Linked DNA regions of Nothobranchius furzeri. The protein of the gene in region 2 purifies or fractionates together with the protein of the main gene of each other region. This does not show direct contact. Links are inferred from orthologs where the notes say so. Each region holds a gene or a part of one and is shown on either strand. Other genes may lie near its edges.

The links.
Region 1: the proteins of ATP-dependent RNA helicase DDX39A (region 2) and thoc1 purify together in Homo sapiens (affinity purification with mass spectrometry; 3 studies listed by BioGRID and IntAct, with this or other methods). This does not show direct contact. The link is inferred for Nothobranchius furzeri from reciprocal best matches to the Homo sapiens genes DDX39A and THOC1.
Region 3: the proteins of ATP-dependent RNA helicase DDX39A (region 2) and api5 fractionate together in Homo sapiens (co-fractionation; 3 studies listed by BioGRID, with this or other methods). This does not show direct contact. The link is inferred for Nothobranchius furzeri from reciprocal best matches to the Homo sapiens genes DDX39A and API5.

What each region holds. Positions count from the first base shown.
Region 1 is NC_091751.1:49,145,282-49,156,274, forward strand, and holds thoc1 (THO complex subunit 1), read right to left. Parts: upstream 5,477-10,993; 5' UTR 5,428-5,476; coding exon 5,380-5,427; intron 4,727-5,379; coding exon 4,653-4,726; intron 4,574-4,652; coding exon 4,513-4,573; intron 4,443-4,512; coding exon 4,373-4,442; intron 4,218-4,372; coding exon 4,099-4,217; intron 3,999-4,098; coding exon 3,950-3,998; intron 3,861-3,949; coding exon 3,765-3,860; intron 3,656-3,764; coding exon 3,573-3,655; intron 3,487-3,572; coding exon 3,413-3,486; intron 3,339-3,412; coding exon 3,230-3,338; intron 3,121-3,229; coding exon 2,986-3,120; intron 2,845-2,985; coding exon 2,744-2,844; intron 2,662-2,743; coding exon 2,595-2,661; intron 2,402-2,594; coding exon 2,351-2,401; intron 2,253-2,350; coding exon 2,182-2,252; intron 2,052-2,181; coding exon 1,956-2,051; intron 1,808-1,955; coding exon 1,742-1,807; intron 1,652-1,741; coding exon 1,568-1,651; intron 1,491-1,567; coding exon 1,343-1,490; intron 1,254-1,342; and 5 more. UniProt on the Homo sapiens protein: Component of the THO subcomplex of the TREX complex which is thought to couple mRNA transcription, processing and nuclear export, and which specifically associates with spliced mRNA and not with unspliced pre-mRNA.
Region 2 is NC_091747.1:68,843,133-68,854,109, forward strand, and holds the start of ATP-dependent RNA helicase DDX39A, read left to right. Parts: upstream 1-4,554; 5' UTR 4,555-4,683; intron 4,684-5,536; coding exon 5,537-5,744; intron 5,745-5,982; coding exon 5,983-6,110; intron 6,111-8,072; coding exon 8,073-8,349; intron 8,350-8,610; coding exon 8,611-8,729; intron 8,730-10,603; coding exon 10,604-10,735; intron 10,736-10,950; coding exon 10,951-10,977. UniProt on the Homo sapiens protein: Helicase that plays an essential role in mRNA export and is involved in multiple steps in RNA metabolism including alternative splicing. Regulates nuclear mRNA export to the cytoplasm through association with ECD.
Region 3 is NC_091744.1:54,690,443-54,700,914, reverse strand, and holds the start of api5 (apoptosis inhibitor 5), read right to left. Parts: upstream 9,165-10,472; 5' UTR 8,963-9,164; coding exon 8,891-8,962; intron 8,028-8,890; coding exon 7,866-8,027; intron 7,795-7,865; coding exon 7,701-7,794; intron 7,603-7,700; coding exon 7,537-7,602; intron 7,435-7,536; coding exon 7,283-7,434; intron 7,163-7,282; coding exon 6,956-7,162; intron 6,731-6,955; coding exon 6,626-6,730; intron 6,002-6,625; coding exon 5,912-6,001; intron 3,209-5,911; coding exon 3,027-3,208; intron 2,944-3,026; coding exon 2,850-2,943; intron 2,760-2,849; coding exon 2,703-2,759; intron 1,878-2,702; coding exon 1,798-1,877; intron 1,708-1,797; coding exon 1,565-1,707; intron 1-1,564. Other genes in the region: samm50 (sorting and assembly machinery component 50 homolog A), read right to left, coding at 9,751-9,796, 9,936-10,077, 10,226-10,372, 10,450-10,472. UniProt on the Homo sapiens protein: Antiapoptotic factor that may have a role in protein assembly. Negatively regulates ACIN1. By binding to ACIN1, it suppresses ACIN1 cleavage from CASP3 and ACIN1-mediated DNA fragmentation. Also known to efficiently suppress E2F1-induced apoptosis.

The DNA.
Region 1 (10,993 bases), on a different chromosome or scaffold from region 2:
GTGTGCTTTGAAAATATGCCGAGGCAGTCTCTGGACCAGATCCTCAGAAGTTTAAAGTTCTGCAGTTTCACATGTTTTATAAACATTGTATCATTTTTTAAAAGCCTTTGGTAAGGTGATCATATAAGAGCAACAGGTCATTTTTAACGAGAGTCCAGCCAAGCTGCTGTCCTCGACCGTCTGGCTCGAGTCTGCAGATGTACGACTGAACTCTCGACCACCTTTTGAACCTTTGAGGTCGACCTCAGGTCTTAAGTGCTTGGCTCACATCATCTCCTGCGATTGTTCAAATGTATTGACTGATGTGGCCCTTTCTGCCAAATTAACGCTGTTTTCAGGGAAGTGTGAGTGTGGGGGGGATGGTTCAGGTCAGGTCGCCCTTGTGTTGAACCTTGTGTTTAAATAAAGACTTGAGATTCTGCGGGCTCTGAATGTTCTTCTCATGGTGATCTGAGACTTGTTTCCTGATCACTTCGCCACGGTGTGTAAAACCCAGAACATCTACACTCTGTAATAAGTTAACAGGTTTCTTTCACAGGTGGTGAAAATAAAGTGTAAAAGCAAAATGTGAGGCTGTTTTTGTCAACATAAGGTGGAAAACAAATAGGAAAAAAAAACATTTATTGGGTTTCTACAGTGGAAAAATGGCTTAACATGTACTTCCATACAAAAAATGTAAATAGGTTTTTGTATGACAAAGAATGTTGCAAGAAGGTAAGAAAGGTAGAGCTTAAGCCTCACTGAGGCCGTCTGCGATCTGAGAAAAACCAGCTGCATTTAGAGCGGAGACCAAATTCTCCACAGTAGCTTGTGTGCCCTCTCGGTCCTGCCATGAAACCAGCAGGAGTTTGGCCTGCATCTCAACATCTTCACTGTCCGTCTCGATTTCACGCAACTCTGCTGCCTTCATCTCCAAATGAGAGGCCAGCGTCTTCCACTGGGCACCCAGTTTAGCCGCAATGTCGTCCATCTGCTGGTTCGTTACAAGTTTGCTCTGAATGCTGGGACCTTTAGGAAAAAAACAAATATTTAAACTGAGGTTTTAAGTGTTCCAAATATGAAAATGGTATGTAAACTTGCTTTTATATTAAATATTCCAAATAATTCGGGTTTAAAGACAGTCTTGTTTCCAGGCGTAAGAAATCAAAAACCGATAAATCAAACTCACTGTCGTTGCTTTCTTTTAGAAGATTGTCTCCATTATCGTCGTCATCCTCTTCGCCTGTTTTAATTTCCTCTGAAGGGAGATCCTTCTGCATTTTTAGAGTGAACAGAAGCCTCATTCAATAGTTCGTTATTTTAAAATGACAAAATTGTGTTTTATTGTCGACAAATCTCTCACCGGCAGTTCTTTAGCCAGTTTGCAAACCATAGTGTCCAAGTAGTCTGCGAGGCTCTTGAACTTCTGGTTAGTCGGCTGAAAGAAGTGTGGACTCCTCCTGGACAGCAGCCTCAAGGCCCGCCAGCCGTAGTTCGGGTTTCGCACAACCCTGAAAGCATTTACACAATTAAAAAGAACAAAGTAAACAGGAAATGAACTTTTAAACTGTTTTTCAAGCAGACTTACTTGTACTCCTCCTCCACCATGTTAGCTGGGTCAGCCTGTTCGATGGCTTCAGCAAAAAACTCATCCAGTGACGGCATAAACTCTCTGAAAACCAAAACCAAACAAACTCAGATGTCATTTGTAAATGTATTTATATGACTGTGTTCTTGTAGTTATTTTCCATAATCGACTGACCTGCTGTCTGACTTGCACGCCTCCATGTTGTCATGGTTCAGGTTCCACAATCGGGTTAGCTCGTCACTAAAAACAAAACAATTTTTCATCCAAGTGGAAACCCAACTCTGGATTATCAAAAACACTAACTTAATTTAATTACATCTGGTGTTCTGAATAAATAAATCGGATTAGACTTTTCACTAATACATCCCATTGCTATTTGAAAACTTACTTTCCCATGAAAATCTTTCGGTCCGGCCCTTTTCCAAGGAAGTCCTCTGGAGCTTGTCTCTTCCTGGTGGGCCTTTTAGGTTTTTCGTCTACCGTTCTGTTTCAGAGGAAAACAAAAGAACTACTTGTCATTCTGACACGCTACTGTGAGTTCACACACTCACAACTGTTAAAACTGACCGGTGACTGCGTGAAAAATAAAGGAAAAGTCAATTTTCAGTCATTACCTTTCTTTCACAAAGCTCGGACATCCCTCATTTTTCCAGGCATTCCAGTTTTCCTCCGTGCTGAGCATGTGCTACGACAAATGAGACTTAAATGTAAACAAAACAGAAGCTAAATGTGAAAAAAAATAAAAAATAAAAAATACATCAGTATTTCTGTAGAACTGCTTACCTCAACCATGGTGGCAAACTTATCTCCATCAGGGGGAGTTTCTCTGAGGAGCTGCAAGAACAGATAAGTTACAAGTTGTTCTCTCAGTGGTTCACAGTGTTAATAAGAATAATAGTTTTATGAGGTATAAAAAAACTGTGATGTAAATGGAAATTGTCACAAAACCTCAGAAGAAGAACGGACAGATTTTTTTCGCAACAGACACGTTTTCTCCTGATTTCTGGTCCTACGTGTCTGAACTGACCTGAAACACCAGCTTAGTCGTCTCCTCAATCCATGTAGTCTGGTCATCATTCAGAGCACAGCTTGAGCTGTGTCAAGAAATCAAAAAGCATAAACATGAACTAATTCCATCCCAACAAGTGATATTTGTTTAGTTGCACAAATGTTCACCTTTTGAATTTGACCTGACCCTTCAAGTACTGGAACAGGATCAGGTACTGCACCAGTATGTGTCTCCGGAAGTTGCTGTCGCTGAGCTGCAAGTCCATCAGCTGCAGATTACAAAAAAAAAAAAAATCCCAAAACAATGAAGTTTAACTTTTAAGACAGAAAAACATATGACTTACAGCCATAGTCAGTTAAAAACTGCTTATTTATACATGATTAAAAGATTTTTAATGATTTTTCTGCACCTTTTCGCTCGTGAGAAACTTGGCAAAGTAAACCTGTTCACCATCAGACGCTCGCAGCTCCTCCAACTTCCTCTTTGACGCCTGCATGTCATCCAGTTTGTAGCTTTTGAACACAGCAAGAGTCTCATCGGAGTACTGAGCAAAGCAAAAGCAACACACAAGTTTATTTATTTTTTTATCCTCATCTTGGATATTGACAGTGATCCGTCAAATTGGTCAGAGTTGCTGCACCGAGGTGGATTACCTTAACAAAAGTAATCCATGAGATTTTTTCATAGCACTGCAACGGATTTCTAAAGTAGTCCTGCAATGTCCAGAACTTTCTGTACAGGTTGTAGTCAATCGGAATAGAACTAAGGAACAAAAGGGTACTATTATTTCATGAAGGTGAAAATGTGAGCAAATACAGCAAATGGTTTTCATTCACCACGGTGCCGGGGCGTCATCCTCCCCCATTTCTCCTTCCTCCACTTCCATGCCGTCTTCCTTTTCATCAGCGTGCTGTCAACATAGTAGCAAAAAAACAGATGAAACAGGATGGAAAGGATGAGCTCATTAACCTAATAATTAACCTAACAATACTTCACCTTCTGACCAAGAGTGCTTTCTTGTTCATTTTTATTGAACACGGTTATGTTGTCCAGATTAAACTGGCTTTGTAGATTGAGACCTGGATTAAAACACACACAAAATCTATTTAATTGAGAGGTTTACAATATGATTGTAAAGTGCTTTGATTTTTTTCCCCTTCAAGTTAGAAAAATAACTGACTTTCTTACCGGATTTTTCAGACAGAGGAAAGAGACGTGCCAGGAAAAGCTGGATTCTCCCACAGAATACTGTATTCTGGGATTTCGACAGCCTCCTTAAAAGATCTGTACAGATGAAACAAAAGTCACTTGCACCTGAACTTTCTGAGAATAGAAAGTCTTTTGGATGACAGAGAAAAAGACAAGATTTTTACCGTTACACATTCTCAACAAATAGTTCTTTCCTGCTGTGTAAAAAGAGCTCTGGAAGAAAGAAACAACACAGGTACAATAATGAAACCTTCTAACAAAAACAGAGAAATATTTTTGTTGCCTTTACAAAAAAAAATGCCTGTAATTATACCGATTTCCAGGTAGAGACATTTTCTTCAACAAAAGAGAATATTTTGTCACACAAGTCAAGGGGAAGGCAATCCAGAACGTCTCCCAGCAGGACAAAAGGAGTCGTAGCAGAACAGATACCTGCATTAAAAACAGAATAAATGTTACACTGTCATTTGTTTTAAGAGACGTTTTACCAAAACTTATATCAAAGCGATCCTTTCAACATGTATGTTTAAAATCCAAAATCATCTAATCTAAAATAAATATCCACCTCAGCAGTAGTGATAACATACCCTCAGTAACAGCATTGATGCTCTGGTAGATTAGAGACAGATAGTCATCACAGCATGATTTCTGCTCAAGCTAGAGAGAAACAATCATTAGCGATTCTCACATATTTTCAAATTTAAATTAACTAACTTATTAAACTTACAATCTGGTCACCAAGAACACTCCTCAAAGCCTGATCCAGTGTGGTCTTCTTTTCCGTCTCACTGACAAAAACACACAAGTAGTAAATTTGTATTTCTGGATTATTTTGATCTGGAACCTCGACCCAGGAGCACAACTTACTTGCCGGGGAGTTGGTTAAACACGGCGATTAGGGGTTTGCAGGTTTTACCAGCTAGTGCTTGTGTGCTTGCAGCCTACGGTTGGGTGAGCATGGGAAAGGACATAATGAGAAACAAAAGACGATGCAGAAGTTTGCTTCCGTTTTCAAGCTTCCGATTCGGGAAATGGCTAAGGCCAAGGCCACTCTCAATTTTTATATACGGTGACCATCTTTAATCTGCTTCATCTTAAAAACTACAATACCTAGACAGTTCAAACCTGGACGGGATTATTCTAGACTAATAGCAAATTCCATAAAACAGTTTGTGATTTGTGAAACTTCAAAATCTGCCTATTTTAAGTTTCACAAATCTGAAAAAGGTTTCACAAATCACAAACTATGCTTTATGGAATCTGCTATTAGTCTAGAATATTCCAGTCCCGGTTTGAACTGTCTAGGCATTGTAGTTTTTTTAAATAGAGCAGATTAAAGATGGTCATAGTAAATAAAATTGAGTGCAAATGCTCTTTAGCCAATTTCCAAATCGGAAGCTAACTTCAACCTCGTAAACAACAGGACCGTTCAGAAGCGTTTACTTTAGCTTAGCTTCTTTGGCTAACTACTACACTAGTACAACAAGCACAACCATAAAGTAGTGAAGTTAAGATTTTTTACGGTTTTATCAACAAGTTGTCTTACATACAAATATATTATGGATGGAAATGACAGAAAGAAGCCACTTCTCACCGAAAATTTCTCTTTAGCGTCGACAAAATTAAATGAGGACAGAGACATCTTTACGCTTCTGAAACCGGAACCGCCAACGAATCACTTCCGGTTATGAAGTGGCGTTTTTGTACGTAAAGGGAATTATCTGACAAAATTATACATTAATACATATTATCTATAAACGGAGTTAGGATAAAACTAACTTTGTATTTTTTAATTTAGTTTCAAATAGTTCAGTCAGTCACATTTTTATTTCCATTTTGGATGAAAAATGGAAATAAACCGTAGCATAGCAATCTTGACCACACGATGGCAGTGTTGTACACCATTGTTGCTGTTAAAGTTTTTCATTATTTTTTAATTTGCTTACATTCATCAAACTCTGAGTGGCTGTAAGTGATGGATGCATGGAAACCTTCTTCAAATGGTGAGTTAAAATTAGTATTTCTACTTCCTGAAAATAACAGTATTAATATTTATTTTAATCCTAATTTCCCCACTGTATGGTTTAGTTTGCCTTTTGGCCAGGACTCACTTAAAAAAATCTTACACTTGATTTTTATTTTAAAGAGTCATGTTCCAAACTTTCTTTATAATAATAATTACAACAACAACAACAACAACAATAATAATAATAATAATAATAAGTTGTGTCAGCCATTGAATACTTGTAAAATAACGTCACTCTGTTTATATTGTATGCATTTCAAAGTTATATTTATTTTAACGGAAAGAGCGAAATAATTTTTGTCCTTTCTTGTTAATAAATATTTGACTTTGACAGGTCACAATGCACAGCAGTTGTAATGTGTTTGTTTTGCATGTGTGCCTGTCTTGGTGTGCACTTCCACATGTTCTAATCATGCAAATGAACATTCAGCTATGTGCTGCAGGCCTTGAATCCTTTGATACCATCTGCTTGTCTAACAATGTCCGATTTGACATTAGAATAACCGCTCCATTACCCTGAGACAACAATCATTAAACTAAAGATTTACTCAACCCATGTGAGAACACTGAAGCTTGTTTTGATCCAGGTCAAGACCTCTAGGATTTACATACAAGGATGATCCTTTTCAGCTCCTTTTGATGGGTGTTTGTAACCTTTTTGTGACAGTGTTTTGGTGGCTGTGCTGATGTTAAGAGAAGAACAATGACTTTGTGAAGTGGAGGCGTTTAGTGTCACATGGAAGCAGGAGAGGCTCTATTTCCTTCACGTGTGTGGTTGTAGTGTTCATGAAAAAGGGAAGTGAGGAGTGATTTACTAATACCTATTTTCTCCCATCCCTTATCTTACTCAGAGTTCATCAGATTGTTGCCAAAAACTGATGAAGAGCAGAAAGGGAGTAAGCACGATGAGAAACTTGGAGATTGTGCTGGGAGGCACTCTTAAAAGTGATTTGTGCGTGGTTTGAGGTTGTGATTAGGGCAAGAAGATTGAGAAATCTTCTACATTCTACCTAAAATGGGTGATTTAATTAATTAATTAAATAATTTATTTATTTTGTTCAATTAAACTTCCCTAGATAATTTGTTCAGCTTTTATGCAACGAGTTTTCAAAAATATACCTCCAATTGCACCAAAAAGTAAAATGAACAAATATATTTAGGTTGCATGCTGAGGCTTAGTTCCATGTTTGCGAGGCACGCTCATCCCGCTGTCCGTGCCTGTAACTTCTACAACCTTTGACATAGTTTTGATAAGACACTGGTCCATATAGTCTAACTTTGTGGAAAAGATAAGACGGTCAGACTAGAAAAGGAATGAAATAGGGAAAAATATTTGATTGAGCTGCCATGGAGCAAAGATTGAAGAGGTCCTTCGCCCATGTTTGTAATACATTTGCAGTGGTCTATTGTAGGAACAAATGCCTTGTAAGTTGTACTCTGGGGGAAAAAAGCTCCGGTGCACCTGTTTCAGCTCAGAGAATTCAGCCAGAGGAGAAAGTAGGTTCAGACGACAGGAATGTGAGTCTTATTTCCTGATATTGGGACATCTCTCCTCTGATTGGCTAACAGCAACATGACCTTACCACTGACTCTGCTCTGCAACATTGATTGTTTCATCTCCACAATCCTGTAGGAGTTCTGCTGTGTTGTAGAGTTGCTAATGCTAATGGTTAGCTTCTGCTAGCTGAGGCGTTCTCTACTCTCTCCTCAACAACAGCCTTCCCCTTTCTGAGCCGAGATGAGTGAGTGAATGAATGCTACCTGACAACATAGATCTGACTGGCTTTTCTAATCCGAGGCTTTCCTCATTCATTTTCTATCGACGGCTAATGCATGAAATAAAATTAAAGAACTATTTACACGTTGGCGTGAAACTCCTTGTAGCCGTACATATTTTAAAAACAACAAGTAAACGGTTTATCAGTGAACTGGCTCTTTAAATAGATTATCTGAGATAAAGAAAAATGTTTGCAAAACTTTGACACTTTTTGATAAAATGACTAGTTTGCGCCACAAAATGAATTTAAACTAGTTCAAGTTCCTCACGTGTTTACTTTTCCCAGATGAAGATAATGAGAGGTCCACCGACAGCTCTTTTCTGCCGAGTTACAGACCAATCAGTCAGGATGAGAGCCAAATAATTTGATGAACACTCAGACAAAATGACCGAGGGGCAACAAAGAGAGCATTGTCTGTAGAGACAAACTTGTAAACAAGAGGCAAAACACAATGCCCTGACCCCTGAGGTCAAACACACAAAGGAAGGAGTTTTTGGACTGCCTGCTGTCACGTGGTTTCCTCTGAGACTCCACTTTATAAAACATATAACGAAGACTTATTTTATTGTTAGGAAGATGAAAGTAAACACATATGAATGAGTGAACATTCTGATTAAGGTTATTACTAAATTCAGCCACACGTCACATTTAAATTAGACCTTTTTTCATCCCTTCAATGCTTTTTCAATTTTTTGCTTCAAATAAAAATGTCCCCACATGGATTACATTCCTAATACTGTATTAAAGTTAGTTAATTTATTCATCTATGTCAGGTGACAAAATGCAAATCTCAGTTGTGTCACAGGTCATCATAAAAATTATTTGGGACATTTTGCTGACGATTTTTTTCAGAGGACAACACATTGGGGATGCAGTGATTATCCTGACTTGTCTTGAAGACAGCTGGGACTTCTGTGTATTCAAACAGCCTTGGTTGCATTTCTTTGGTGATAAATGCTCGATTATGCAGTTTAAAGTCATTTGACAGATATGCAATGATTAGCTAAGGGTGTGGAGGCCATCAAATACCCACGAGCCATAAAACTGGACGTGAAACAGCCAGGCCACGTGTGCAGATGGAGAAGCAGCATTCTTGTGACGGAGCCAAAAAGGAAATCTCCATCATGACCATCTTGTCTAATCATCACGATCTTTTATTGGAGATTGTTTGTGTGCAATTACCCGATTTACATCCTGCTGTTTTAAAACAAAACAGAAAAGAAAAACATTCTTTTTAAATTAAACTAATCATTTATAGCATGTCATGTAAAAATAAAAAATGAATTGAATCACAAAATTCATGCAAAACTATAAAAAATGATTCTGATTCATTCAGATTAATTTATTAATGACCACACAAAAAGTTGGTGGAATTTGTTTCCGGTGCAGCATGACATGCTCACAACTCTGTTTACACATGATGTAACAAAAAATAAACAGACAGAAACATTAGGCAGTTAATTGATTTAGTGTCAGTATAGCTGTTGGGAAAAATCTGTTTTTGAATCTAGTTGATTTTGTTTGTAAGGACCTGTAGTGTCTTCCAGAAGGCAATAGTCTGGACAGATGACGTGCAGGGTGAGAGGGGTCCAAGGTGACCTGTTGTATGATGTGTCTACGGTACAGCAGCTGCTGATTCCGCTGTGGGCCAGCAGTGGCGCTATTTCACCATCTTGTAACTGCCAGCCACCAACAAGAAAAAGGTGACGTCATTTGCCTTGTCCAGTCATACTCACAAAGCATCGGTAAGCCTAGCTGCTAGCCTGCCACGTAGCAGGTCTGTTCTCCAGCATGTGTTACTATGGTGAATACAGTAGCGGTTTTAGGCACGGGCAGACAGGGCAGTTGCCCGGGGCGGCATTTTTTCATGACACAAAAGGGGCGCACAAGCGCGGAGTAAAAAAAAAAAAAGGAAATCTGCGCCGCAGCGAGGTTTTCTATTATCTGTCATATGACAGTGTCTGGATTGGAAACAGCAAGTTGGCGCCCCCTGCAGTTGCAGGCGCTCCTGCTGACTGAGAACGTTCACGTGCACCGTGTGTCTATGAAGAACAGGAAGGGGAGGGGTGCGGCGGGGGAATTCACCTCTGCGTCTTTCCCAAATGAATGAGCGTGCAGGGGCTGAATCAACTGTATTAGCATTGCTAAAGTCAATCACATCTTAACGTTCTTCCATATTTCATTCATAATATCATAAACACAGGCCTATAATTCTTTCAGGTTTCTCTGAATTGTGTGAAATGGCCGAATAAAAAAAGGAAAAACAAAACGATTTTGTGGTCACCCCCCATCAAGGTCAAATTGATTAGTCCTGACTAAAGGAAACTTACTGAGTCAGGAGACAAACAGAAGAGATGAACATAAAAAGGCTAAAACCACCAGGTGCCCCATTCAGGGGAAAAAAAGAAAAAAGAGCAGAAAGATAAAGGTATGTAGCTCTCATGATGCATGTTTTCAATTTTTTGAACCAGTTAACTGGGATTTTAACGGTTAAATGCGGTCAACTAATTGCTAACAGAGCTAATAGGGCTGAAATATTTAAACGAATATTCAAATGGTTTGAAAAAAGTCCTTGAATCGTTTTTTACTGATTCAAACTAGGATTTGTTAAATGCTCACTGCAGCTTGTGGCCTGCCTGAACAACAACAAACACATGTTGATCATGTTCACATAATAATAAATAAAACAACTCTTCAAGCAGAAGAAAACTCCCCAGTCACCACTAACTATCCTGTTTATTTATTGCAGATGGCTGCACTGATTATTTTTTACATGATTTGTTCTGTAAAAGTTGGCATTTTTGGTAGTCTACAGTTTTTTATGTCAGTTTAAATTACAATTTCAGAGGCAATTCTAAAATATTATGGATCATGATAAAGATCTATTGGAGATCTACCCCAACTTTTGGACTGCTCTGCCAGTCACTGTGGCTCCAGCTGAGAGGAGCTTTTCAAAACTTGATCAAGTCATACCTGAGGTCACCTATGTTTCAGGGGCGGCTCACTAACCTGGCTCTGATTAGTATCAATCACTCAGTAGGGGAGCAGATTTCATGTGATGACATTATTGATGACTTTGCATCAAGGTTAGGTTTTAATTTTAGTTTGTGTTTTCTATTCTAAGTGCAATGCTGTAGTGATTACCTTTAGTTTGTTACGTGTGAAATATTTTTGCTATTTAGAATATTTATTATCTATTATGTTCATATATTCTTAATATTTAGTTATTGTTTGTTTTTGTATATTTGATTCTATATATTTTGATACAGTATATAATGTATAGTGCTTTACATTCTGACAACTTCATAGTAATTAATGTAAATATGTGCAACTTAGAAAAATGAATGTTCAATAGTCGTTCTAATAAAACATGCCTGTTTGTAGAAAACATGCGTGTGTTCATG
Region 2 (10,977 bases):
AACTGGACCTCCGGCAGCACCAGGAGCATCACTGCAGCTTCCGCTGATGCCCAAGCAACAAACTCAGGCCTCCTGGTCTTTTTTCATGGTTCACTTTGTGCAGAGACTGCCTCTCTGTTTGCTCTTTCTTAAGCAGCTCAAACCTATTAGGCTTAAGCAACATTCTTATTCATTTTAGCAGCTGACAAATCCACCATGACCCAAAAAACTGCTTTGTTTACTATTCAGTTATCCAGCAAAATACACCTTTCGGGTGCTGCTTTCCCACATATCTTTCTATGAAGTCCTTTTTGTCTGTATATTCTGACAGAGATGCTAGTCCCTGTTTACATGACCTTCCAGAGGGACCACATTTGTTTGAGTTTGCATCAACCCACATGTTTGCAGCCGAGTATAAGGAAGTCCAGTAGTTATGTTTGCATGTCCAGATGGGACCTGGATATTTTAAAGCTTTGTGCTTTGGGAATTATTTGTGATTTTATTATTTTTTAACCAAAAGGTGAAACAAAAATAAATGATTTCTACAAATAAATATTTAATCTCCAATATTGTCCATGTATTTCTGACCCTGTTCCTACCCTCACCACTGAAAGAAATGACTCATAAGAGTTACTTAAAAAATACATTGTAAGTATTTGCAAGCAAAGTATTTAAGTACATTTAAATGCTGCAATTTGAAGTAATACTTACTTGCCAGTATCAAGTAAAATTGACTTTACATGAAACATAACAGTTATGAAGATTTTAAGTAACATTTACTTAATTAAATCCAAACTTTAGTTACATTTATTTAAACAAATTAAGTAAAGTCTACTTGTTTTTCATAGGCAAGAAAAAATTTTACTCAAAATTTTAAGTTCATGTTATGTCCCTGTAGTATTTGCAATGATTAAATAGATATTAATTATTTTCTTATAAATTTGGATGAATGTTACTAAATAAATGTAACCAATACTCAATGCATTTAATACGTATAAAACCGCTCATTTTTAATTTTAAACAGTTTAACAAACATTTAAATCCATAATAATTGTGTATTAAATTGGCCAATCTTTTATGGGGCAGCCATAAAAGACATGCATAATCTTTACACCACTTTTCAAAGTTGAAGTCGCTTTTTATATTTATATTGGGAAAAAAAAGCATGCGCAAGTACAGCATTTATGGTCACGAGCTTTGGGTAGTGGCCAAAAGAATGAGATTGCGAATACAAGCAGCCAAAATGAGTTTTCTCTGCAGGGCAGCTGGGCTCTCCCTTAGAGATAGGGTGAGAAGCTCGGTCATCCGGGAGGGGCTCGGAGTAGACCTGCTGTCCTCTGTTGTTTGTCCACCACAACAATGTCTGGTTGGTTCGCCATCACCATTTTATCAGTCTGGATCTGGAAGTCCCACAGGTTCTATGGTGCGGTATGGGGGCCAAAATTAAGACTACTGCCCAGCAGCAGGAGGCTATATAAATTCTGAAGCAAACTACCAACCTAATTAATGACAAGCTGGCGCCAGTAACTGAGAGGCTGGCGCTGCTTACTGAGGAATAGCACCTTTACCGGCGTTATTACTAGATACGCTAGGGACTAGCAGCCCTCGGCTGGTGATTGACTGGTTCAAACACTCCCTCTGCTGTCTATTAGCATGGATAGGCTAGCGTTAGCCTGGACGGGCTGGTGTTAGCATTGGAGAGGCTAGACATTAGCGTGCCTAGGTATGCCACTAGCTGGATTTCCTACCCCCTTGACAGACCATTAGCATGGATAGGCTGGCATTAGCATCAGAGAGGCTAGCCATTAGCATGACTCGGAGAGTCATTAGTCAGCTAGTGGCCAGCCTAGGCACACTAATGGCTAGCCTATCCATGCTAATAGACAGCAGAGGGAGTGTGTGAACCAGTCAATGACCAACCGAGGGCTGCTAGTCCCTAGCGTATCTAGTAGTAACGCCGGTAAAGGTGCTATTCCTCAGTAAGCAGCGCCAGCCTCTCAGTTACCGACGCCAGCTTATCATTAATCAGATCAGTAGTTTGCTTCGGAATTGATATAGCCTCCTGCTGCTGGGCAGAAGTCTTAATTTTGGCCCCCATACCGTGCCATAAGGATCTTCGTTCACTCGTTCTCTACCAACTTATGGGGTGATACCCACATTGGGTCTTCCAGTCCATACTATGCACAGATGTTTCTGTACACGATGTCAGCCACTTGGTTGTGGCGTTCCAGGTATGCTTTCCCTGCTAGCATCTTACACCCTGCATCACACCAGTGAAGTGTGTCGTTGGTTCATTTGGAGAGAATGTGTCCTCTTACGCTTAATGTAAAACACTGTGACCTCTTTTCTCCATTCATCATGACTTATTGTAAGCCTTTTTGTGTTCAGTGTTACACCTACTGTACTACAGATAGCACATAGGCCTAAATAAGTCCATTGTACGTTAAGGCTTCAGAACATTTGGATACAAACCCCACAAATATATGTTACCAAATTAATTTTACTGTGTTTTCACACATAAACAGCAAACACAGTGTTCCTCCAAACCAACACAAAGTTGCATATGCAACGGTCTACATATGCAACAGAAGAATGCACTGAATACAGTTTAGTCAAAACAAACAAACAAACAAATAAACAACCATGCTACATCCTCTCTTCCGTTTCTATCTGGCCACAGAGCCCCATCTACATCACAAGCAATGTGCTCCCTGGCCAAGCAGAATAGTAAACTTTATTTGTTTGACACCAAAACGGTTGCAGAAATTCATCTTTGAACAGGGCTCTACATCATCATTCACACTCACGTCAAACAGTTAAAGCCCATAAGACCGTACATATGATCTTCCTTTATCCTTATGTAGCGTTGACAGTCTGGACACCTTTAAAAAACAGTTAAGACCCTTTTATTTAAAGCTGCTTTTACCTAAATCCTTAATTTTCTAATTTTAACTCAAATGTTTTATCTTTCATCTGTTTATGAAATGTTATGATTTTATGACTTAATTTTTTCTGATGTTAATCCATTTCTGTTTTGAGATCGTTATGATTTAATGACTTTGTTTTATTTTGTTTTTAACTATGTGAAGAACTTTGTGATTCTATGTCTGTGATAAGTGCCATATAAATAAAATTTACTTACTTACTGCATCTACACACAGTAAAAACACACTAATTGATGCATACATATACTCAATAAATACAATGCGTGGGTTTTAGAAGTTCCTGTACTTTTAAGGGCTGTGATTGCAACAGGGGAAACATTGCTTAACATGGCCATTCCAGCCGGCCTTCTTCCATATGTGTGTGGATTTCAGTCATACACTTACACAGTCATACTCCATCTGCACACAGAAAAAAAATCCTCATTAGGATTGAGGAATGGATAACACGAAGGAAGATAAACACCTAAAAATCGTGGGTGGTATGTATGTCGATGGGGTGGGCAGCGAACCACCAGTCACGAACCAGAGCAGCCCTGTAGAAAATGACCTGATCTGGTGGTGGAGGAGTGCGTTGGGTAAGATGTCCAGGAATGTGATCAGATGGACAGTGTTGTAGGGGTCAAGGGTAGAAGTGATGGATGACACAATTGTTGGAAATAGCTGCTCTAATGTCTTAAATTAGATTATGTGCGACAGGTGTTTTTCCTTTCGATTACATTGTATACTTTACAGTGTACACTTTACAGTGTACACAGAGGATCTTACGTGGTCAGTGCACACGAACAATACAGTGAAGAAGGCACAGCAGCGCCTCTTCTTTCTCAGAAGACTGAAAAGATTTGGCATGAGCCACCGCATCCTCAGGACCTTCTACCGCTGTGCCATTGAGAGCATCCTCACTGGATGCATCTCCGCCTGGTTTGGCAACAGCACCGCTTACAACCGCAAAGCTCTCCAGAGAGTAGTGCGGTGTGCAGAAAGGATTATTGGAGGTGAGCTTCCCTCCCTCCAGGACATCTATAAGAAGCGGTGCCTGAGGAAAGCGGGGAGGATCATCAAGGACTCAAGTCACCCCAGCCAAAAACTGTTGAGACTACTTCCATCAGGAAGGAGGTTCTGCAGCATCCGGTCCAGAACCAGCAGACTGAGAGACAGCTTTTTCCATCAGGCCATCAGACTGCTGAACACGGCGCAGACACCTCACCCTCACTACTGAAACTCCAACATTACACGCTCCGTACTGTACATTAATGCCACTGTTTTGCACATACCAACCTCTGTACATTTTATATCTCTTATCTTACTGTTTACTTTATTCATTTGTATACTTAGATTAGCCATTTTTATATCTTACATGTTTTTACATTACTGTATTTTTGCACAACTCTGTTGCTGTGAAGCCCACACACAAGAATTTCACTCGCATGTACTGTACCAGTGTACCTGCACATGTGACGTGACAATAAAAGTGATTTTTTGATTTTACAGTTTTGAATGACAGTGGGCTTGTAGTGAGAACAAGACTTCCTTTATGACAACTGTGCCAAATGCAAAGAACTGGGTGTAATGCAATGTAGTGTAAAGCAGACAGCGTGCTTGAGTGACTTCTGGCAGCTGCCACGAGCGGTGTCGGTGTACACCGGAAGTGAAGCCTCTGCACTTCCTGCCTTCGGTCCTGGCGCACTCTCCTGTGAACAGCTAGCTACACGCTAACTCGACAGTCCTGCGCTCATTGAGAATAGCGAACCATAACCGTAAGGTAATGTTAAAACCTATTTATACTTCTCCAAACACTCTTTCGTGTATGCAGACATGGGCAATGTTTAAGGAGTCGAGTCGTTTTTTTTAAATGTTCGATTTTGGTTTGATTTTACAACTGATGCTATGCTAGCTGGCATGCTTGATGCACTAATAAAAATATATTAGACAAGTCTAGTCATTTAGCTAAACTTTGCTTCGGTTTCGGTGAGTCTGGCAGTTAAAAGTTAACTCCAAACAGAACATACACCGTGGTGTATTTTGGAGTTTCAACATTGAGGTGAAGTGTTCACCCTTGTTAGCCCGCTAACCTCGCTTTGGATGAAGGAGAACGACTCCATTGTTTATGTGGGTGACCACCAGCTCACGCAACGGGTCTCACTCGGTTTGAGTCAAATACATAAAGTTCTGTAAAGTGTCGTCTTTATTAAGTTGTAGGGGAAATAATCAACTTAATACACACGTTTGTTTTTTATCTCATTTTTCAATCCTTATTCTTGCTTTTTTTGTTGTCCGCGGCCTGCTAATGTTAGCCATGCTAACTTGCTGCTAGCCGTAATCAAACAGCCCCACGATGTTTTCAGCCGCTGTTAACGCTATATGAGTATAGCGGCTGATGTGTAATACGATTGCTAACTACTTAATTTTAAACCACTGGCAATCACAGCCAAGTAATGATCCCAAACTTTCTGTATATTAACAAAATGAAAAATCCAGTTCTTGCCAGATCTCAAAACTTGCAAAAGCAATCCCTCAGGTAAACAGGATAACACAGTACATTGTTTATTAAAAATGCAGGATTGTGTGTGAAAACTTAGTCAATTTACATTTCTCCAACACAACATCCCCTTCAGATGGCAGAGAACGACGTTGACAATGAACTTTTGGACTACGAAGAGGATGAGGAGCCCCAGGGACTTCCTGAGAGTGGGACACCAGCAGGCAAGAAGGAGGTTAAGGGGTCCTATGTCTCCATCCACAGTTCGGGCTTCAGAGACTTTCTCCTGAAACCAGAGCTGCTCCGGGCCATCGTTGACTGTGGTTTTGAGCATCCTTCAGAAGGTAATGGTTATAAAACAATTTAGGGAAAAACAAAAGTCTGTGTCAGTTAATTGGAACGTATATTACAAGAAAGAATGCATCAGTTAAGGTTTGTGCAGTTATTAGTGGAAAAAGGTAGCAGAATCCGATCAAAATTTAGATTTTCTAGAAAAATAACAGGTAGGCTCATCCTGAAAAGAACTTATATTAAGCAACAGTTTTTGATCTTTGTACTTTTTGTCATTTGCTTTTATTTTAGTTCAGCATGAGTGCATTCCTCAGGCTATCCTCGGCATGGATATCCTGTGTCAGGCCAAGTCTGGTATGGGGAAGACAGCTGTATTTGTTCTTGCAACGCTGCAGCAGATCGAACCTGTGGATGGCCAGGTAAGATGATCATATGTATGGACAACAAATGAAAATCTTATTCTTTACATTTTTCCTAGAATTTAAAGTAGTGATGCACCGATATGAACATTTTTGACCGATACTGATATCCGATATTAAGATCACTGTTATGACCGATAGCTGATATTTGCCGATACCGATATGCTGACATGAATGCTTCTAAAATCTGCAGATTTTGTATAAAATAAAAATGATTAAAGCTGAATTTATGTTATTATGTACACACACAACTGCGGTTCTGAGATGATTACAATCACTGTCACATGACTGAACAAATATACATCACCCCCTCACCCTCTGAAACAGGCAAACAAATGGTGACAAGATGGGAAAAAATATCTCTCAATAATATTGGCCTGTTTTTTTTTTTTATCGGACTGATATTGATATGTTAAAAAACGGCTAACATGGCCGATACTGACACTGATGCCGATATATTGTCCATCCCTAATTTAAAGTGCAGAACTAGTCATGGTTGTTGAGGTTTCTAGAAACGGCAAACTTACGAATATTGCAGATGTGTTTCTGAATAAGGCAGTGAAATACATCATCATTACAGCAGGGCTGAAACGATTCTTCAAATGATTTGATTCATTACTGAATAGAAGCGTCATTAAATACGCGAACCGCAGTCTGAACACATTCTTTTCGCACACAGTGTAGTATTCTAGGAGCTGTGTAGGAAAAGAAATAAACCAGCAGACACAAACCACTGTGAAAGGCAAAAACGGTCCAAAGTTTGGGAGTGAGGTGAAACTATGAGCAGATAGCCAGTGCTAAGCTAGCGCGTAGCATCCTGACGATCAAGTGAGGTTAAGAAAAAATGCGACGGTTGTGAATGACTAAACTCTACAAGCAGAAGAAACATCTCCATCTTCCTGTTTATTTGTGGATGTCTGCAGCAGTGTGGGGCAGAGATGCTGCAGCTACCTGGAGTCTGGGTTGTTGCTACTGGGGTGCACCGATCTATCTGCCCCAGTCTTGTTTTTTTATTGATTTTTTTTATTTTTAAGAACGGCGATCAGCCAAAAACTGCAATCGGTGCACCCCTAGTTAATGTTAAAACAGATCATTGCTGTGTTTTAAAACGGGCACAGAAGTTTTGTTTTCGAAATTAAGAGCAATGCAAAATATGTTAATTTATACTTGGGAAAAAAAGACCTCATGTCCAGTTGAGACTGGTATTGTTTCATGAGTTTTCATATTGGTTTTCTCAATAAAAGGAAATTGAAACGTTGACGTAATCTGATTTTAGTTGAGACAAAATCGGTATCGGCAAGTCAGGTTTTTTCAAGGTCAGTGATCAGCCAATAACTGCCATCGTTGCACCCCTATAGTTTCTACGAGTCTGCTCTACACAACGCATCAGGGATACGGCAAGCTGTTGTAGCATGTATTTCACAAACGCTTCTATATTTGAAAACATTTGAGACAATATTATGTTACCAACCCATACAAATACCATACATATGCCACCATTACATTGTTACAGCAGAAATTCAATATTAGCGTTTCCAGTAGCTTACTAATGAACATGTTAATGAAATCATTACACGCTATTGATCATATGCGGATATATTTAGATTATTTTGAATAAGATGAGTGATATTAACACAAACTAAAATGTTATTGAAATATAAGTTTTATTTTGTTCCATAAAATATTTAAAAACTGTAAAAATCTGATGGGAGAGAGCGAACCAGACAACAGCAGTTAAATATATGTCACAGAGCATTTTATAATTTAGTTTTTGCATATTTAGCAGCAGGCTAATTTCACGTAAAACGTCGTAAAATAGAGTATCGGTGGAGGATTCGATAGAATATTTGAATACTAAAATATTCTATAGCTGCAGCCCTAAAATACAGATTTTAGGAACCGTGAGCACTGAAATACTATGTGATTGATATTCTGACAACTCCTTATTTATTATTTTTCCAGGTGTCTGTCCTTGTGATGTGTCACACAAGAGAGTTGGCCTTCCAGATCAGCAAAGAGTACGAGCGCTTCTCCAAGTACATGCCGACCGTCAAGGTGTCCGTGTTCTTTGGAGGCCTGGCCATCAAGAACGACGAGGAAGTCCTGAAGAAGAACTGCCCTCACATCGTCGTAGGAACTCCAGGACGAACCCTGGCCCTCATTCGTAACAAGACGCTCAGCGTGAAGAACATCAAACACTTTGTGCTCGACGAGTGTGATAAGATGCTGGAGCAACTGGGTGAGTAGGAGGACAGCTAGTAGTTTGATCTGATGTTAGGATTGGTCATCTTTATGCCTTTCATGTCCCTCAGCACTGCGTTATTAATTATCATTATTTAAACTTTCTCAATATTTTCATTTTCAGTCACTTATTTGTTTTTTTAAAGCTGTGCATCACCAACTTCCTTCCTGATCTGACACACGGGGAAGATTGCTCCGTTTTAGTACAAATGAGGTAAAAATGAGAAACACATGGAACATAATCTGTTTTTCCCCTCAGACATGAGACGGGATGTTCAGGAAATCTTCAGACTGACGCCACACGAGAAGCAAGTAATGATGTTCAGTGCGACTTTAAGCAAAGAGATTCGCCCCGTCTGCCGCAAGTTCATGCAAGATGTAAGTTATTGTCTGGGAAACAGACAAGCGGTCGTTCACATGAGTCGCATGTCCACAGAGACCCTCCCCCAAACGTCTGAACCATCCCTTTAGTGTGTCTAACGGGGGTTATGTTTATAAAAAGGAGGGATGCACCGATCAGGTTTTTTGCTGCCGATCACCGATACCGATCACGTGGATTGGCCAGAAATTTTCTACAACATTATAATGAGTGCTACAAACTACATAATCTGGGAATAAAGGAAATGTAACCTAATCTAAAATGGTCTGTATTAGGGTTGTCACGGTGTGAAAATTTAACCTCACGGTTATTGTGACCAAAATCACCACGGTTTTCGGTATTATCGCGGTTTTTTTTTTAAACGTGCTACATTTTCACACAATTAAATAAACCCTGTATGTCAGGAAATATTGTCCTCAGTTTGTGTCTAAATTTTGCCTAAAATGTGTTATTTAGTAATTATGTTGTTTATTTGTTTACATTTTCCCCCTTTAGTCTTTAAAATACCAATATTTGCCCATAACGTCTTATTTTATGTCTGTTTGATGTCATCATTTAAAAATATTAGACCAGATGATACTCAGTACTCAAGTAGCCTTCTAATCAGATACTTTTTTACCCTTACTTGAGTAATAAACCCTATATCAGGAAAATATTGTCCTCGGTTTGTGTCCTTCCAGTGAGCTTTGCAGATGTGGGAAAATGTCATCAGGCAGTAATCGTTGTTAAATTCATAATTATTCTCGGAGAGAGACCAACTCTTATCTGCCCCTGGGAGCCCCGTAATGCATAGCGTCATTTCAACATGGCGGTGTCCGCGACACGGTTTATATGCAGGTAGCGGCGCTGCGGCTGCTTTATATAGCAACTCGTTGCATTCTCCCTCAACCCAAATCCTCGGATCACGCACTTTAGCTAAAACGCTAACGTTAGCTTGCCTTGCGTTGACTGTAGAGTTGTGGGTGATGGTCACGCAGATGTGTCATGAGATTTGAAGCGTTGCTGCCTTTCACAGACACTTTTTCTGCACGTGCTGCAAACAGGATAGCCGTCTTCTATCAGCTGTCCCTCGGCATTCTTCACATATCCAAAAGATGCCGTACTTCCCACTTTGTCTTTGAGGGATAATAAATGTCCTCCTGAGCGCTGCCGTCTCCTCCTTTGGCCATTATTTCAGCTTTAGCTTAAAGAAAGTTTTGGTTGTAAACAACAAAGTGCGCATGTGCCGCCGACAACTTCAGCAGATGATACGGTGGCTGGTAAGGGTCACCGCACCTACGGTAATCCACCGAGATAATATAGTTTTTTTTTTTTAAAACAAGACGGTTATTATTATTGTCAACTGTTTTACCGGGGTTTACCGCTACACCGGTTACCGTGACAACCCTACCTGATCGGTCTGCTTTGATCTATTTTGAAAACTCCGATCAAAACCGATTGGGGCGCTATCGGCAGACTGGGATCAAACGCCGATCCATCGGTGCATCCCTAATAAAAAGCCTAGTTCAGCTGTCTGCCATAAAGCCCGTGTTCTAACAGTAGATCAGTGTTAAAAATCTACTGATGAATCAGCCTTTCCCGTGTTTTGGTTAGAAGTTACCTGAAGTCAAACCCCTCCAGCTTTGCCCACTCGCGGCTGACCGTGTCACGAGTGTCCATTTCAGAGGGGCAGAGCGAACGTCCTCAGCTGATCTTGCTCGGCCTGGGCAGCGGTCCTCACGGCTGTGCTGCGCTGCGGGAGAACAGGCCCAGGTTGGACTAGTTTACTCAGGAGAACCACGGGAAGGTTCTAACTCGTGTTGTTATGCTGCATGTGAATGCAAACAGAACTGTGTTAGTAACGTGTGCATCGGCCTCGTCTGTTTTCCTTCAGCCGATGGAGGTGTTTGTGGACGACGAGACCAAGCTGACACTGCATGGCCTACAGCAGTATTACTGCAAGCTGAAGGACAGCGAGAAGAACAGAAAGCTGTTCGACCTCCTTGACGTGCTCGAGTTCAACCAGGTGTCCTGTGACTTTTCTTTCTTTTATTTGCATAAAATGGCTTTGTGTCCGTGAAGTCTTCCCTGTGTTTTCATTTAAACAAACGTTTAGTCTCTTGCTTTAAAGGCCCTATAAATAAATAAACAAACCCGGAACCTTTTCCCCTTCTATTGTCGTGTTGGCTGATAAAACACCGAAGCCTTGTGGACTTAAGGGTCTCCTCTGGTTCCTGACAGGTGGTGATCTTTGTGAAGTCCGTGAAT
Region 3 (10,472 bases), on a different chromosome or scaffold from region 2:
CTTGTGAAGGAACATTAAGCTCCTAGGACCCTGTGTCCGGGTCCTTGCTCTTTAAAATTTTATTCTCTTCTACTTGGACCTTTTCATTATTATTTATAGACACTATAACTTTAATTTAAAAAAATTTTTTTAGTTGTCTTTTTTTAGGATATTTGACAATTTTTTTAATTAATTTTTATCGAATTAAAATTTGTTACTTTTCTGTTAATTACAGTCGACTAGTCTGTAATAGCTAGATGTTTTTTTCTTTTAAATCAAACCCAATACAAGTTTGGGTCCCAGGAGGTTTAACTTGAGTAACACCAGAGCCATGCGCACTGCGCCGGTATGTCCGCCACTGTAAATGAGGGAAAAAAAAAACGAATTGATCGGATTCTTTTCTTACCTTTAACATTGTTTAATGTAAAGCTTCGCTCTGTTTAATTAAAACAATCCAACGAGACTGAGCCTAGATTTGTATTCTGAACAGTTTAAACATGTTTTAAAAGGAGACGTGTGTGAAGCGTCAAAAAACGGCACTTGATCAATAAAACCACTAACAGGGTGATAAATATCAAAATACGGTAGGCACAGATGGGCTACAACTTCTGGATCATTTTATACAGATGGTTTTATTAATCATCTTCTGTTGAAAGATAACGTTGAGGTACAAGAGTGAATGGTATCGGTTGCTGTCACCTGTTGTGATCAGTTAAAGCAGCTCTCGGCTGACTTAGGGAGGGCCCAGGTGCAAGAGGGAACGCCCACCCACAACGCCGCGGCTGCTGCGGCTCCCAGTATACTTTTACTGTGGGAAACGGGTAATAATGGCTCTTTGATGGGAAAAGTGGCTGACCCCTGGTTTATCCTCTGGAGGTTTCTTCCTGTTAAAAGGGAATTTTCCTCTCCACTGTCGCTAAATGCTTGCTTAGTGTGAGGATTGCTGTAAAGACACTGATGCCCGTCAGTGACTCGATACATTTTATAGGTGGTTAACTCATACTGATTGGCAGCCATGGAATGGTAAAGCCTATGGAAGTTTATCAGACAAATTCTTGACTGATTTGTGTACAAAAAAAAAAATTCACAATTATAGATCAGTATAACATTAGTGCTCCAATTCTTATGTCTGTTTTTGATGCATTGGTTCTAGTTCTATTATGTCAACAACTTGTTCTGACCAGTAATTACATTTTGTTGAACTTCAACAGCCCTTTTATATTCAAGCTAAATTTTATTTTTGATTTTTATTAGACAGAAGATCCTTGTGCTTCAATCAGATGAATCCTGAAGAGCAAACATGAATGTTTAAACTCATCTGTGAAAGAGTAGACAACTATAAGTTCTTCTGCTCGAGGCTGACACGGGTCTAGAATAAACACTGGGAGTGAATCCACTACAATCCCAGTGATAGACTCTGCCGTCTCACCAGTGAATCCACGAGTGCAGAGGATTTACATTCGATTAGATATGAAGATATTTAAAATTCCCTGATGTGCTTTTAGGGTTAAAAGGTGATAACTGTTCAGTGAAAACAGTGTCAGAAAACAAAGAAAAATAAAACGTGCCACAGAATCCTTCTCACCATAGGTAAAATTGCCAATTGAGGCACTGTACTTGCCGCTGGGGGGGTTATAAATTTGCCGTGCGTCCCGTCGAGGCAGAGAGACGACCGGCTTCTTGGTACTTCCCCCAGATCCTGTGTCCTCAGTTGATGGACGCTTGGTGCTAAAAGCAGCAAACAAAAAAGTCCAATGAAGCTGAAAAGAACCGCAAGGCCATCAGACAGCCGACGAAGGCCTGATGTTTCCAACTTACGCTACTCCCTCGGGCTTCTGGACCGGTTTCCAGGACAGGGTAACGGTGCTCTTGTACGATGGAGGGTTATGGAAAAGATCCTGAAACAAAAATAAAGATTTTAAAAAATCTTGCAATTTAAGAATGTTGTAAAGAAAAAATAAATGGTATGAACATTATAGCACCTTTAAGGATTGTTTTTTAGGCTTTTCTAGAACTTCACTGTTGAAGTGCTAAATATTTGAATGATGCCCTTTATTCCAGCTCATTTACTTCAGGGTTGTGTTTTTTTTTGACTACATGAGTTTGGTTTGCTTGAGTAGATCCAGCAGATATAACTAGAGGGTGATGTGCAACAAGAGAAAAGTCTTAAGATTAAATGCCTATAGTAGTCATACACACTTGTGTGGTGAAAACTGTCCTTCGTACTTGACCCAATGCCAGGGGGGGTCACAGTGAGCGGCAGACACAACCGCGCTCATTTGGTGATTTTAAATTAGGTGACTTTCCCATTCCTTGTTTTTGATCTGAGACTAAAACTGAAAAACAACTTTTATTTTGAATTCAATTAAAAAAACAAATGACAAAAAAACAAAATCTGCCTTTAGCCGATCAGTCCTATCACACATAAACTCCATTTTACCAAACAGATGTTATTCAGGAATCATCTACAAAAAGTCAACGAGTAACTTTGTCTTTACAACTCTTACACAGACACGAGAAATGGTTTAAAAAAAAAAAAAAAACCTTTTCCCCACAGGTTCACTAATGTAAACATCGACCACAGCAAACAAACCCCGACTACAGTTCCAGTCAGGCTCAGGCGTGGCGCTGTCCCACGCCAAACATACACATTTCTATAACAGGTAGCGTTTATACTGAAAACACAGCCGTACATGTTTTAACAGCTGATTTGTAGAAATTACCTTGATGAGAACATTGATGTTGTTTGTGATCTTCAGAGCCACCACTTTGATTTTGTTCTGATTAAATACAAAAATAAAAGAAGTTTAACATTGATCCTGGGATCTGTTAGAGTACTATAGTAATTTTCAGCAGCCCACGGTCCTTACTTCTTCTGTTTTCAGAGCATCTCCGGTCTTTCCTTGCAGTGCTACTCGTAGCTGTCTGATGTAAACCTGCAGGCCTCGGGCAAAATACTGTAATCTGTTTAAAACGAGAAGCAAAAGCAGCACTAGGTGAGTGGCAACAGACTAAATCACCAGGAGTCTAACATGTCACCCCAATACCTTATCTTGAAGTCTTTGAGGCGCTCAGCATCCACTTTGTCAACAAGAAAGTCGGGGAGCTTCTTGCCCAACTGGTGGAAGCTGAAAATCAAACACTCCACGTAGCTGAACTGAAGTTTGGGCTCTTCATTTGCCGAGGTTTCTCCATTCTCCGCCTCTTCTGGAGGCAAGGGCATGAACTCCTACAACAGATACATAATATTAATAATATAGTTTATACTCCTCCTCCTCTGTTGTCCTGCTGGGGAACTGCTTTGCAACACCCGAAGGCAAAAGGCAAAAGAGAATCCGAAGAAGAAAAAAGTCTCCATCTACACGTGCAGCCCTGCAGACACAGAAGTATACACCTGACAGATTTTTAAATATTAGATACCTAAAAGAAAACATACAAGGTTCTACAATTCCATAAGAGTGGTGAGGTAAAAAACACCTACTTTTTTTCATGTTCCTGTTTTTCTCGATCTGGGACAACTTTAACAGTTTAAGTCTTGTTTATAGGGCTGCACAACACATTGCAAATGTATCACTGCAATACAGCATGCAGTACATGGTCAGCTCAAATGTTTGCTACGCATAATGCATTTAGTCAAACTGAAGCATGAAGATTTTGACAAATCAAATAGAGCCCTTTGGCCAATCGGGTGGCTTCTTTTGGTTTGATTCCATTTCCCCTAGGCGGACAGCACTTAAAGGAATACTTAACATATTCGTATTTTAAATCATTTTCTTGAGCCAGCATGTGCTAAAATGACCCTTTACAGTATTTTTCAAGTTTTCAAGTGGTCTTAAAGTTTTGATAAAGGATGCATCGTGACTTTGAGTATTCTGATATTAACAATACATCTTATGACATAAGCATAAACATTGTTTTATTAATTTATACTTTGTCATAAATACTTGGGCCCTATGAAACCCGTTTCATTTTTTCCCAAAATAAGGAGGTAAAGCAAGAGTTAAAAGTATGTACAATGTAAACACGAGTCATAGAAACATTTCTTGAAAGACATGAGAATGATGACACCTCCACTGTTGCTGTTATAGAGGAGGAAGTTTCTGGACTTGGCTCTGATTTTTTTATAGCACCTAGAAGGAGCCAGTCAAGTCAACTGTTATCTAGATTCCCAAGTCACTGGGTGTTGTTCCTCCCAAAATCTTCCACTCAGCTTTTCAGTTTTTACGTTGGTGGTTCAGCAACCATTTGTGCACTGGCTGATGATTTATTTTTTCTTTGTGTGAAGAGAACCAACCCACCCCATAACCAGGTAACTTATTTTTGCTGTGGCTAAAACACCTCAGAAACTTTTTCTTGTGTTGTGATGTAGGGCTGCACAATATATCAAAAAATTACCGTCATCGGGATAACAGGACGTGCGATAGGCCCATCGCAACGCACATCAAAAACGGCGATAAATGTTTGATTCAACAGTTCCATTTCCATCCGTGTCATACATCAACTTTTTGTAAACCAGCTCTGTTTTTTACACGGAAGTATTATATGACCAATCAAATGTAGCCCTTCTGATATGCGGCCAATCAGATGGGTCCGTTCACGTAATACGCCCGCCTCCTATGTACACCCTTAGGATGGAAAGCAACACCCGAACTGAGTTAGCGGTGCCGTTCCCTTGTTCGTCATGCTGGCTCAGATTAACGAACGCACTTTGTGCTGAGGTTTCTGGAATCAGCGCTGCTTTCAAACGTGAACGCGAGTCCGCTCGGTGTCGTTAATCATTTTTAGCGGGCTGACTCCGACACGTGCCGGTGAACCAACCCACCTTCATGTCGCTAGTGTTCCACCGGGTGGTGATGTTAGCCCCAGACTCCGGTTAGCTTCCAGCTAAAAGGCTACAGCACTCTCCTCCCAGTCCCACCCTGCTAAAGAGGGCCTGGAAAAGTTCCCCCACACATCAAAGTGATTTTTCATTTATGAGCTTTTATAACCTTGTTAATCAGGATAGTTGATTTGCTGCAGCACATAAACTGTCATTCAGAAGCTCTGCTAGCCGGTTATGACGGTTGAACCGTCATTGTTTGCTCTCTAGCCGGTTGAACTAGCTCCTCCTAGAGGAGCTAGTTCAATTTGTTAGCTTGTTATCAGAATCATAGTTGCAGTTTCATCATCTGAGCTGCTTTTTAAGATCTAGGTAAACTTGTTCAATTTGGGGTTAAAAACAAACGTTTTCACATATTTTCCATGTAGTTTTTTTGCCAGTTCCTCTTCTGAAAGGTAGACAATTGTTTTTCTCTTTCCCTCAGAAAATCTTAATGTTCTCCTAGTTTGGCCCAGCACAGTTCACTTCCCAATTACAGCAACAGCCTTATATCATAACCACATAAGTGGAGAAAATGCTCAGTAGCAATGAGAGAATTTGCTGTTGCATTTAAGTGATGTTAACTATTATTTAACATTTAAACTTATTTTCTGATTTTTTTTATTTATTCTAAAAACCCTGGTAAGGGATGTTTTTCTGTATTTGGAGCATCAGGAAAAGTTTTATGGTGGAGGTGATGTTTAAAAGTCACTGAGAAACTGCATGCATGCAGTTTGTTGTTTTGCTGCTAATACAGTAGCAGGTGCAGCTGCATATTTTTGCAATAAAAATGTTATGTTGTAATGGAATTCATGCATTAGTTTTTGTTTGCTTTGAACTCAGAGCAGACGTCACACGCCAGACGACATCAACACTGCATACTTTAGTATTTGTTCATTTATCGTGAGTAATATCGATATCGCAATATTAAGCACTGTTATCGAATATCGCAGGTTTTCCTAATATCGTGCAGCCCTATTGTGATATATACTTTTCCCTGGCAAGAAGTGATGACTGGTATTATCATGACTGATTTTGTATGGCCCACCCCATGACAGGATAACGTGATCTTACCATGAGCTTGGTAAACATCATGCTGAGGTTGGCCTCAAGCTTCTCCATATCACCACAGAACGGGCTCATCTCAGCCAGCAGCTTTAGGACCTACCAACACAAACGCACATTAGAATGTTACTACTGGAAGGAATACCAACATGACTAATGGGGGACAAAGCTCTGTGGGGCGGACTACTGACCCCACTAACAGGTAGCAGTCACTCTGACTCCGTTTATACAATCAGCACTAACCAAACATCAAGACTTTGAGTTCTCGCCTTCACACCACCGGTCATTTTTAACCAGAACTTTAAAGGAGTCCAAAGCAGGAAAAGGATTTTGGTGCTGCTAAACACTATGAGATTTTTAGTCTTTGCGGTCCAATGGGCTGACAGGTCAATTTTAATATATACTTGAAAATTTTCTCTGATGGGACAAATGTACATAGATCGTGAACCTAATCTTGCCCGAGCGCCTGAGTTTGACACCTGTGAACTAGATCACCTAAGTACACAAACATTAGAAAACCCTTTAGACGAGCGATCGGAGTACACCGAGTAACCCCAACTGTATATAAGAAGCTTTGGCAGATCATGGACTCTAAAATCAATACTGTACTAAACAGTAAACAGAACTGGGTCCTGCTAATAATGACATCACAGCAATGATTTTGATGAGATTTCCCCCATAATGAACTCTATCATCTCAGTAGAAAATAAAAATTAAACTCACTTCCAGTTGAATGTCCAGCTCTGCCACAGGACTCGTCAGTGTGCTGAGATTAGGCAGGACGTGTTCACAGAAGTAGGTTACAAACCGAGTGGAATGAACATTTTTCTACAAAAACAAACAACTTCAATTTAATTGCATCGTAAAATTAATTCAGAGCATATTTCAATGTTTGATTTAAAGTTTTTATTTGGTACCAGACTGGTGAACTTGAAAGACATTAATGGTAACAGTTAATTTCTTGTTATTTTTCTGACCTGCTACATAGAGATAATTTGTTTAACTAAAGTATTTATCGTATCGCGCATCAGCTGAGAATGTACATGTACTCACAGAGAACAGCGGGAGGGCTTGGCGTGTGCACTGCAGGAGGCGGTCTACAGCATCTGGTTCTGACGGGTTAAGGGCCTGTTCCAGGTCAGCCTGCTCCACTACCAGCTCCACAAGCTGCTGCCGCCCATTTACTGTCTGCAGCACATGCAGACCAGACACCACACGCATCAGGAGCACAAACTCCTCACCCGTCACATCCTCCAGCACCTGAGGAAGCAGTAGGGAAGATCAATTCAACCAGAACTCTTTTATAGGACTGCACACTAATAATTAGTTAATGTATGTTTCAATAAGGATTGCAAAAACCAATTTACACCATTTCCTCACCTTCTTTGTCTCGGCAAAGACATAATCTTCAACCTCCTTTGACATGACATCTTCTGGGAGGGTCTTCAATTTGGTAGACAGGAACTTGATGGCTCTTTCTCTGACAATGTCCTCCCCATGCAGGATCTGAGAGAAGAGACCTCCAAGAGTACCTGGATGGCAGGTACATGTAAGGGGGACGGTTGTAATGTATCAATTAAATAAACTGTTTCTAGATCAGTTGTTATGAATAGCATTAAGAAAACAAAACTCACCCTTAGCATCCATTTTGAATATTGAAATCAGAGCTGCAGTCACCTGGTTGAACTCTGCAGTGTCATCTAAAAGCACAACCATACACACAGATTACTACTACATTACCACACAGCAGTTAGAAGTGACCCAGTGAAGGATGTGTGTGGCTTATAATAGTCCACACCTGTCTGAAGGAGCTGGGTGAGAATATCTGCAACCCTTAAGATGTTATCGCCAGTGGCAAACCGGGGTAACTCCTTAATGGCTTGTCGTCGAATCTATAAAAAAACACATCATCAGAAATCCCACATAGTTCAACTAATACAAACACGTTTTGTCTAGAACTTACAGACACATCTTCATCCTCACAGAGATCAAGCTGGGCATTGATGGCAGCATCAGCCAACTCTGGAAAGCTGCTGAAGAATTTAGGAATAAACTGTGCTGCCAGTCGTTTCTCCTTGGCACCACCCTTCACACCATTGAGGATTACTTGATAGGCATCTTTATGCTGAAGAGAAAAGAAACATACAACCACAGATGTGACTTGGGATTACTGAACCCCACACTGTTAAACAGACGAGACAGATATTTACATATACAGGAGTTCCCAGTTCATCGGGTAATACAGAAAATCACTCCCCAGGACTAATCAGTGATAACCAATACCAGTCATTTGTATTTTTCAAGTCACTGATGTCACATCAAGTTCTGCAAGAAACTTTATTAAGGCTGGAAGTTTCAACTAGAGGACAAATTCTGACATCCGAGAACTGACAGCTGGATAAAGCTTGCTTCAAACAGTCAACACAGAATGTTTGGGCCTTACTGTTAAAGCCCAGGTGCGCTTAATATTCAATTCAATAATTTTATTTAACTCAAAATTTAAATATACAAACTTCAAAACAGAATACAATTGCCAACCAGAATATAAGCATTCAAGTGAAATGAAACGAATAACGACGTTTTATTAATACGCCAAAGAATAAAGATGGTGACTGATGCTCACTGTAAACATCAACAAATCAATCTGTTAAACCAAGAGTGCTGGAGTCACTTTAGTTTGAGAAGCACTTTGATTTGGATGTTTGATGATAATGCGATCAAATCTGCTTTAATTACGCCTCTCTAAAAACCCATTGTTAGAAGAAAGGCAACATAGAAGGATTAAATTGATGAAAGATGTGGAAAAAGGTTGTCGTTAGTTTCGCTACAGTGAGGCTATCAACATTAGCCAGGTCATTATTGTAGCTCGTTGCGGCTAGCCTAGCATAAACAATGGTGAGGGGAAAACAGGCATTAAAAAAGCATCACATAAATACGAACTACTAAATACAGCCCTAGTAAAAACAGAACAAAAAGGTTGCTCTATACCTGACATAGGTTGTCTTTAGCGTCAGCAAGAATCCCGTAGCTCCGGTAGAGATCCTCGATGGTGACCGCCATCAGCGTGCGTCCGTGTCCCCGCTGCTCTCAGATAAGACAGCTGACGAAACCGCTAAAGACCTTCAACGACTGCTATCGCAATGTGTTAACCGACAACAAAACGAACTACGACGTAGTATAAAGTACAATCTTCTAGAGTAGCGGAACGTGAAGATGAATATTCTAGAAACTAGTGAATGAAAACCGTTTTTTTTCCCGCAAAGATGCTACGGAACAAAACGCAGTAAGCATGCGCCAGTTTAGCGAATAGAGAGGCCCGTCAGACGTCACGTGACAATAGGGCATGCGCTAAATCGATGCGCAGCTTAAACACGCAGATCGGTTAGTTTACATTTTACACATTTAGCAGTTTATGTCGACGCTTAACAGTTTCAAATGTAACAATAAGCTTGTTTATACTTGATTGTTTACCATTTTCCATCTAAATATTCCAAAGTCTGTGCTTAAGTACAGGCATTCAGAGAAGTATGTAATCGATCAAGTACAACAAAAAGGAATTAGCACTGCCCAAAATAAAAATTATAAAGATGCAAAAATTCTAACACTTTATGGAAAATATATGTTCATTTTAAAATTGTACTCAAAATAACACCTACAGGTCAGGAAAATGATTGACCGTATTTTTGTGTTGAATTGTTGTCCACTAAATCATTTTTTTACCAATACAGCATGACAGAAACCTACAACACAGAACCAAGTCAAGAGAAAAACATTGTACTTTAATTAATTTCTTTTAATAATTCTGTACAAGCAAATTCCCCTTTCCAATAAAATGGAAAAACATGGCGTCACAAGAATCTGATTCCCGCTCCAAACTGGATCCCATCACATATCCTGCAACAAAGCAGAAAACAATATATAAGCCACAGAGCTGCCAGTAACTTTAAAGTGACTACAGACATTTAACATTACATGTCATGTGTAGAATATGCAATCTTCTTAGCAGAGACTACATCACATCAAATATTCCTACCTGTCTCCACTCTGGACTCCCATGGGTATGCAGTAATTCAGCTCCAATCTGGCAATGTTCCCTAAACGCAGTACAATGCCTAGTCCATAAGACCAACGGATGCATTCTGCAAGTTTCTTCAAATGTGCTTGAGGCCCCTCACCTGAATCAAACAATATATAGGACTTTGAAAAGTATGGAAGAAAAAATGTTTATGCCCTGCACTCAAACTGTACTTTGTCTAAGAAGCAAAGCCTTTTAACCCAAATTCAGACTATTAGAAAGGAGGAAAGCAAATCCCAAATGCTTACCATAGTGGAGATTACAAAGATTTCCAGCATTGAGGAAGAAGTGGGTTCTGAAGAGGTCGCCAAAGCCTCCCCTGCCTGGTCTGAAGGGTAAAGGTGTGTAGAGGTGGAGGCCTCCAGCCCAGTAAGCCTCACCTCCCAGGTAATCTCCTGCCATGTCAGTAATGACAACATTTCACAATGGAACATTAACATCAGGAAATAGAAGGAAAAAAATCATGCCTTACCATCACTCTGTGGTCCCATACTA